2 linked regions of the Canis lupus familiaris genome follow. The protein of the gene in region 1 purifies or fractionates together with the protein of each later gene. This does not show direct contact. Links are inferred from orthologs where the notes say so. Each region holds a gene or a part of one and is shown in the gene's direction. Other genes may lie near its edges.

Region 1 (3,509 bases):
GACAAGGAACAATTCTGAATGATAATTCTCCAATTGGGACTGGCATTATGGAGAAGGCCATATAGATCAGGAATGGCCAGCTGCTAAATTAAGGGAATGAGAGGTGACCCTAAGAGGATGCCAGACTGGGGGTACTCTAACCAGGAGTTGCAGCAAGCCAGAGTTCTCTTGGCCTCACTGTGGGAAGAACTCAATTTTGATTGCTCTCCCTTCCAGCTAGAGTCTATTCAATAAGTATTTACTGAGTGCTTGTTCTGTGCTTTGTTCTGCCTATCTCCATATCTTGCATTTCTCCCTCACTGCCCTAATCCCCGCTATACCCTCCCTCCTATCCTCAATTCTTTCTGGCCTCTAGTTTCAAAGTCCAGTTTCCTCTAAGCTGGCAGAGTGGACCTTCTGCCTTTTCATCATCTCATCCTTTGCCTTCCCTCCTCCTCCCCCTGCTCCTAGAATGTACCTTTCCTATTCTATAATCACATTTCCCCTCCCCTTGCTCCCCTTCATGTTCATCTGTCTAGTGCTTCATTGTTTGTGCACTCCCTGGTAAATTCAGCAAATATTTACTAAATACACACCATGTGCCCTGCCCTGTGCTTGAAGCTATGGGTAACCAACTAGTCTTTGTCAATATCCCTTTCCCCAAGGAATTTGAAAGTATGTCAGATTCCTGTGAGGAACACTGAAATAACAAGACAGTGTCTGATTGGGAGTTCAGATAGTGTATGTACAAGGAACGATCATACCCAAGACAGATACTCCACCTTATGGCTTTCCTATCTATTATGTTATTTACTCTTTCAACCATTCCATGAAGTAGGTAGGACAGGAGGTACCTCATTTTGTAGACAAGGAAACTGAGGCTCAGAGGAGTTACCCCAAATACATGGTTACAAGTGGTATGCTTGAACAATGGGTATACAATGGCTGGGCAGGGAGGACAGTGAAATTGGGAGTCTGGTGGGGCAAGGGTTGCTTATCGAGGATCCATTCTGAATGGGGATTTGTAGGACTTAAGATTAGAAGTTAGGCTGAAACAGATGTGTCAGAGCCTTGAATTCCAACCAGAATCATTTGTCTATTAGACACAAAGCTGTGACAAGACCAGGAAAAATTAGGGATTTTTTAGATTTTTACTAGACTATTATGAGAGAGTAGACTCAGAAAGCTTAGTTTAAATGCTGAACTTTTAAAAAAGATTTAAAAGGATATGCCCCTGGGACACCTGCGTGGCTCAGCGGTTTCGGGCCGGGGTGTGATCTTGGAGTCCGGGGATCAAGTCCCACATCCTCCCTGCATGGAGCCTGCTTCTTCCTCTGCCTGTCTCTCTCTCTCTCTCTCTCTCTCATGAATAAATAAATTAAAAAAAAAAAAAAAGGATATGCCCCAAAATATAAACACTGGTTGTCTATGGGTGGGATTTTTTTCCTTCCATCTGGTACATTCTATAGATTTTCACCTTCCACAGTTAGGAAGAAAAATAATCATTAAAAAAAAAAATTATTCCAGAGGACTGTGCCTATGGAGGGTGGGGGGTAGTCGGGAAACCAAAACTGGCTCTTTCAGCACATCAGACAAAAACTCCTAGGCTAACCTTAAGTAGTGGCAGTGCAGTTAGGGGTGAGGCAAGGTCAGAAAGCTCCTGAGGGGAAAAAAAAAAAAAAAAAAGAAAGCTCCTGAGAATAGAGAGGAGAAACAAAGATGGTCTCATGCTGTGAGCTGGGAAGAGGAGGGGACCCTGAACCCTAGAGAAGTAGAGAGGAGGAGAGATTTGGAGGGGAAGGGAATGGGTCCACTGCAGACATTTAATGGGAAGTTACAACTAGGTACCTGGAGAAAGGCAGGTGATGGCAGCCTGGGAGGTATGGCCCACTGCCCCTTCCACTCACACTGCCTCTTGCTCCTCAGGTACTTGCAGTGGTGGTACCGGAAAACCCAGGTAGAGAAGAAGACACCTTTCATCGACCTCATCAATTGTGTACCTCTGAGACAGATCTATGGTGAGCCTCACCCCAGCTCTGCTCTGCACAGAAAGGGCCCAGACTCTGGGTCTGCTGCAGAGCTAAGCAAAGAGGCTTCTAGCTTACCCACAGTGAACTGCCCTATCCCCTAGGGTTTTCTTTCCCTAGCTTTACTGAGCTATAATTGATACCAAACATTGTGTAAGTTTAAAGTGTATAATGTGTTGAACTGCTATCCCTGCTTTTTTTGAGAAACTCATCTTTATAGTCTAGAAAGTGAATAATGGGCTTCTTTTCCTCTCCCGATGCCCCACTAACCATCCTGATTCTACCTCTAGGTTGTCCTTTGGGTGGCATCGGGGGAGGCACTATCACCCGAGGCTGGAGAGGCCAATTCTGTCGTTGGCAGCTTAATCCTGGAATGTACCAGCACCGGACAGTCATCGCTGACCAGGTGAGAACCAGTAGGTGGGGGACAGGTCCAGAACAGTACCCCAGCCCAGGAAGAGCCTCTTGGCCCATGTAGGATGTAGAAGTTAGATATGCTCCTGTGCACATGATTCATTCCTGTAAGTATATTTAAGATGCTTTCCAGGTGCCCACCCTTGTGCCAGGATGTACTAGGAATGAGATACTCCAAGAGCACACGTTTCTCAAAAGGATAAACAGCCCCAACACCCCTGTGCCCTCCATTTCTCTACTAAATGCCTCCTATGTCCTTCACTCCCCAGCTCCACTAGCTTTGCCAGTACCCAGCCACAGAGGATGCAGGAAATTTCTAGATCATATAACCTGGTTAAAAGAACATGTAGTAAGACAGAAGGGAAAAAAAGCCCAAAGTCTCTAAATACATGGGGGGGGAAGGTGTGTAGAGTACCCACTGTTCACCCTGATTTGCCACCCTTAGCTAGAGATCAGCTCCTCTGCTGGTGACCACTCCTCTGGAGGTATCCCTGGCTGAGGGCCTGGGAAGCCCTTCCTCTCCCCAGCATAGATCTCTAGCCTTTTCTGAAGCTTTACTTCTTTTCCCTTGTCCCTTCATCACACATGGGCCCTCGATTGCCAGAGTCACATGGTCTACCTTTCATCATCTCTCTAGCGACCTCACAGGTGGAGGTGTCAGCCACGTTTCCATTTCCTGTCTGAGAGATGCCTCCAGCTTTCAGCTCATCTTCAAAGAAAAAATGACTAGCAGACCTTGAGTCCAATTAATGACAATGCCCTTCCTAGTTCAGGTTTACCAGCCCTGCCCAGTGCCCCAAGCTTCCTCTCTGGCTCATCCATTAGGTATCCTGAGGGGAAGTGCCTTCCAGAATTGTGACTCTAGAGTTAAAGTAATTATTGCATGCTTAACATGTGCTAGAGATTGTGCTATGCATTTTTGTGTGATATTTAAGATTTAAAGACAGTTCCTACAAGGTAAGTACCATTATTATGCCCATTTTATAGATGAGGAAACTGAGATCCAACAAGATCTAGTAACATACTCAAGGTCATGTGGTTGGCAAATGGAAGCATTGGGATTCAGAACCAGCTCTCAATGTGGTTAAA
Region 2 (3,949 bases), on another chromosome or scaffold:
GTTGTAAGCATTAAATGTGTTAATGTGAAGAGGGTAGGGAACAACCCCTCCTATGTAATAACTGCTTAATGAAAAGTAATGATCACTATTTCGTTTTTGGCTTTGGGAATTTAATTGGACCTAGAAGGCCTTTCTAGGAAGTTTGCATTTTATCCTGTTAATCATAGGCAAGGAGAGTCGGGTTGAGCTGTTAGATGAGAGACAGAAAGGAGAGGGACCTGTTTGGAGACTGTTGGCATACTCCTGAATAGCTCTCATAGGGTGGCGGGGAAGAGTCTATATGGAGTGGGTTCAAGAGGGAATAGCCGGGGGCTCACGGAGACAGCAAACAGATAACTCATTGGAGGAATTTTGCTAAAAAGAGTTGCAAACGTACAGTAATAGGTGGAAAATGTAGGGCAAACGGAGTTTTCTTTTCTTCTCTTAAATGGGTGAGCTGAAAAGTAAAATGATTCAACAGAAGATAAAAATTACCAACTGGGGGGAATCCTCAGAGGGAGATCTCAGAAGTCCACAAGGGATGCGAGCCACTGGTAAAATGGCACGATTCGTTGGGTCAGGTAGCAAGGCGCTCAGTTCCAAAATTACTTCCCCTTCGCTGATGGGGAGATCATTTTCCAGAGGCCGGACGGCTGGACCCAGAGCCCTCCGGCTTCTGCACGTCCACACCTCCGCACTCGGAATAGAGAAACCCCAAGGGTCGGCAAAGAAGGCGGGGCCAACGGCAGAGGCGGGCCTACGAGCGCGGGGCGGGGCTGGGGGCGGGGCCTCGGGAGGGCGAGGGGCGGGGCTTGTCGGGGACGTGGTCCCGGATGGCGGGTTCCGGGGAGCGGCCTGCGGCATGCGCGTCCGGCGGACGTTCAGGGGCGTTCGGCACCGCTGGTGTGAAAGCGGGCGGGCTCGGAAGGCCCGAAAACCACAGGCTGAAACATGAGGCCAGTGGAAGGCCGCGGAAAGTCGGCTCCGGAGCGGCTTGGCTCCTGCAGAACGCCGAGGGGCGTGGCGTCTCATCGAGAAACGCGTTACCTTGCGGGGCGAGCCCATGAGAGGCGGGGGCGGGGCCTGCGCGAGGCGGCCCGCAGGGATAGGGCGCTGGCGGTTGTCCCGGCCCGGTTACGGCTCTGCGCACGCGCGTCGGGCCGGACCAAAGGGCGCAGCGGATCCGAGTGAAAGCGCCACCGCCAGCTCCGGGCCCAGCCCCCCCCCCGCGCCGCGCGCCCGGGTCATGTGACACGAAGGGCGCCGAATGCCTCGAGGCAGCGCCATTTCCCGAACGTGAAGGCCAAAGTGCCCCGAGGGCGGGAGACGCCTTCTGATGCGATCTGACCTCGACCCGCGCAGCCCGCGGTGCGGGGTCGAGCTCAGGCGCTCGCAGTGCGCGGGGGTCTGGCTTTAGGAGAGGGGCACGCACGCTACCTTGGGGGCGTGGCCTGCGCCTTCTGGGTGACCTACACGCGGGGTGGGTGGGCTCACCACTGGGGCTGAGATTCGGGTCCAGGTGTGACAGAGGCGGGGCTTCCCGCCAACCACTGAGAAGCAGGTAAGTGTGTAAAGCTATCTGGAGGCTGTTCAGGCCGCACTCGACCTGTGGTGGGCTAGTTTCAGTGGCGGCGGTGATGTAAGGGAGGGGGAGGGGCTGGCGCCGCAGGAGGTGTGGCCCGGCCCGAGGGGCGTGGCCTGGCTCTCGAGGGGGCGTGGCCTCGTGAGGCGTAAGGGGCTTGGCTGCGCGGAAAGTGGGACGAAGAGGCGTGGCCCGGCATCCGTGCGGGAGGGGGTTACCTTCTTCCGGAAGAGAGATCTACGTCCAGCTGCTCGCTGGCGCTGTCCTTTCTCTTTCAGGTGCCGCCTCATGGAGACCCTTGCGGCCGCCGCCCCTGCCCGGAGCTTCTTCCCCTCCTTCCTGCTCTTGGCCTGCGGGACGCTGGTGGCCGCCCTGCTGGGCGCCGCGCACTGGCTGGGGCTCTTCTATCAGTTGGTGCACAAGGTGCGGGGGCACAGATCAGCGGCGGGCTGGGGGCAGCCAAAGAAAGAACGAGCTCCCGGCCCTCCCTCTAACTCACATATTTTGCAGGCGGAGCAAGTGAGGCCCGACTCCTTAATGTAGGGGACTCGGTCGGGAAATTCTATCCACCTCCCTGTCCTCTGTTTGCCAGGCTGCAGGCAAGGCCCTCCTGGACTTTGCCTCTAGAAAGAGATAACTGCAAGTTGCTGCCCCGGCGCTCATCGCCCTTCCCCCTCCTTCCCCAGCGGCCGGGAGCCCTTTTCACAGAGCACTGCTCCCTAAATGTGGTGTGGTCACAGTGGGCTGAAGGCAGGCCCTGGAGGGGGCCTGTGATAGTTGTCATGTACCTCTCAACACCTCCCTGAGTAGTTGCTTTTGTTTCTCTCTTCTTTTCCCGAGAGAGCTTGGAGGTAACTTGCCATAGGTGATGGTTTTTGGAAAGAGTTGACAGACCTCATTCTGCACTGCTTGGCTCCTCCCTCAGGAATCTATCTACCCCTGCCCCCCAACTCCCTCCTCAGTTCCTCTTGTCTTCACCAGGAGCAATGGGAGCAAGGCTACTACTAATCTTGAGGATTTGTGGAGGTTTAAGGCAGAGGCCTCTAGTGTGCAGGGCTGTGAGAAGGCCGGGTCTGGGAAGCCTCAGCATGATCTGTGCCAGCAGGCTGCTCTCGTGCCAGGTACTTGGTAGCTGGCCTGCCTGCCTAGTGAGTGGGAGGAAGTCTAGCAGGCTAGAATCCACAGTCAGGGTGCCAGGCCCTGGAGGGGAGGCAGTTCTGGTATCCTGCCAGATGGCCCCTGGTCAAACTACTTAGGGTTCTCTGGATCCACTTTCCCTCTCCTCTCCCTGATTGCCCCACCGCCCCTGAGACAGGCAGTGTAACAAGGGGGTGCTTGAGAGCATTGGTTCTAAGCGACTTGGACTATTGCTTGGGCAAGTCTTGGTCTTCCTAGCTGCAAAACGATATAATCTCCAGAGAATCTGATGGGATGACATGTCCTGCTCTGGGCCTGGCCTATAGTATGATAGATGCCTAACCAAGATCAAAGTTTCTCTTACTGACTCTGTCCTGTCCTCCTTCCTTGGGGGAGCAAGATTGTCCTCTCCCTACCTGCCCTGGTGCTTGATAATCTTGCTCTTCCCTGTGGGTGCAGGTGGACAAGGCAAGCATCCAGCATGGTGGGGAGAATGTGGCAGCTGTCCTAAGGGCCCATGGTGTGCGGTTTCTCTTCACACTGGTCGGTGGGCACATTTCCCCGCTGTTGGTGGCCTGTGAGAAGATAGGCATCCGTGTGGTGGACACCCGCCATGAAGTCACAGCCGTCTTTGCCGCTGATGCTGTGGCCCGCCTGACCGGTGAGGGCAGAGCAGAGAGGGCTGAGGGCTGGGGAGAATGGGATAGGAGGTGTTTGAGGGGCAGAATTTTTTCAGATGTGGCCAGGAGGGTGGGCACGGCTGTGATGGATTCTGTGTTTTAGGGACGGTGGGCGTAGCAGCAGTGACAGCAGGCCCTGGTCTCACCAACACAGTGACTGCAGTGAAGAATGCCCAGATAGCTCAGTCCCCGGTCCTGCTTCTGGGTGGGGCCGCCAGCACGCTGCTGCAGGTGCCCTGTCCTTGGGTGGGTGGCGGGGGTCCCTGGGAGCCTCAGAGAGCTCAATGTGTTAACTCCCTGGACTCCTCTGTTTCCACCAGAACCGGGGTGCACTCCAGGCCATTGATCAGATGTCCCTGTTTAGACCACTGTGCAAGTTTTGTGCTTCTGTGCGGAGGGTGCGGGACATTGTGCCCACTCTGAGGCTTGCAATGGCTGCTGCCCAGTCAGGCACCCCAGGTAGGTGAGGGGTGCTGGGCAGTGGTCAGGCCCTATGGCCTGGGCCTAGAGAGGCATGGCCGGCTCAGTAGCCTCCCTGCCCCTCTTCAGGCCCAGTGTTTGTGGAGCTGCC

The links. The genes of interacting proteins can lie anywhere in the genome.
Region 2: the proteins of GBA2 (region 1) and ILVBL purify together in Homo sapiens (co-immunoprecipitation; 3 studies listed by BioGRID and IntAct, counting the BioPlex papers as one, with this or other methods). This does not show direct contact. The link is inferred for Canis lupus familiaris from reciprocal best matches to the Homo sapiens genes GBA2 and HACL2.

Annotation. Positions count from the first base shown.
Region 1 is NC_049232.1:52,566,081-52,569,589, reverse strand, and holds part of GBA2 (non-lysosomal glucosylceramidase), read left to right. Parts: intron 1-1,905; coding exon 1,906-1,997; intron 1,998-2,296; coding exon 2,297-2,412; intron 2,413-3,509. UniProt on the Homo sapiens protein: Non-lysosomal glucosylceramidase that catalyzes the hydrolysis of glucosylceramides/GlcCers (such as beta-D-glucosyl-(1<->1')-N-acylsphing-4-enine) to free glucose and ceramides (such as N-acylsphing-4-enine).
Region 2 is NC_049241.1:47,426,062-47,430,010, forward strand, and holds the start of ILVBL (2-hydroxyacyl-CoA lyase 2), read left to right. Parts: upstream 1-1,149; 5' UTR 1,150-1,540; intron 1,541-1,839; 5' UTR 1,840-1,849; coding exon 1,850-1,984; intron 1,985-2,062; exon of another isoform or gene 2,063-2,547; coding exon of another isoform or gene 2,548-2,682; intron 2,683-3,157; coding exon 3,158-3,359; intron 3,360-3,481; coding exon 3,482-3,609; intron 3,610-3,698; coding exon 3,699-3,837; intron 3,838-3,927; coding exon 3,928-3,949. UniProt on the Homo sapiens protein: Endoplasmic reticulum 2-OH acyl-CoA lyase involved in the cleavage (C1 removal) reaction in the fatty acid alpha-oxydation in a thiamine pyrophosphate (TPP)-dependent manner. Involved in the phytosphingosine degradation pathway.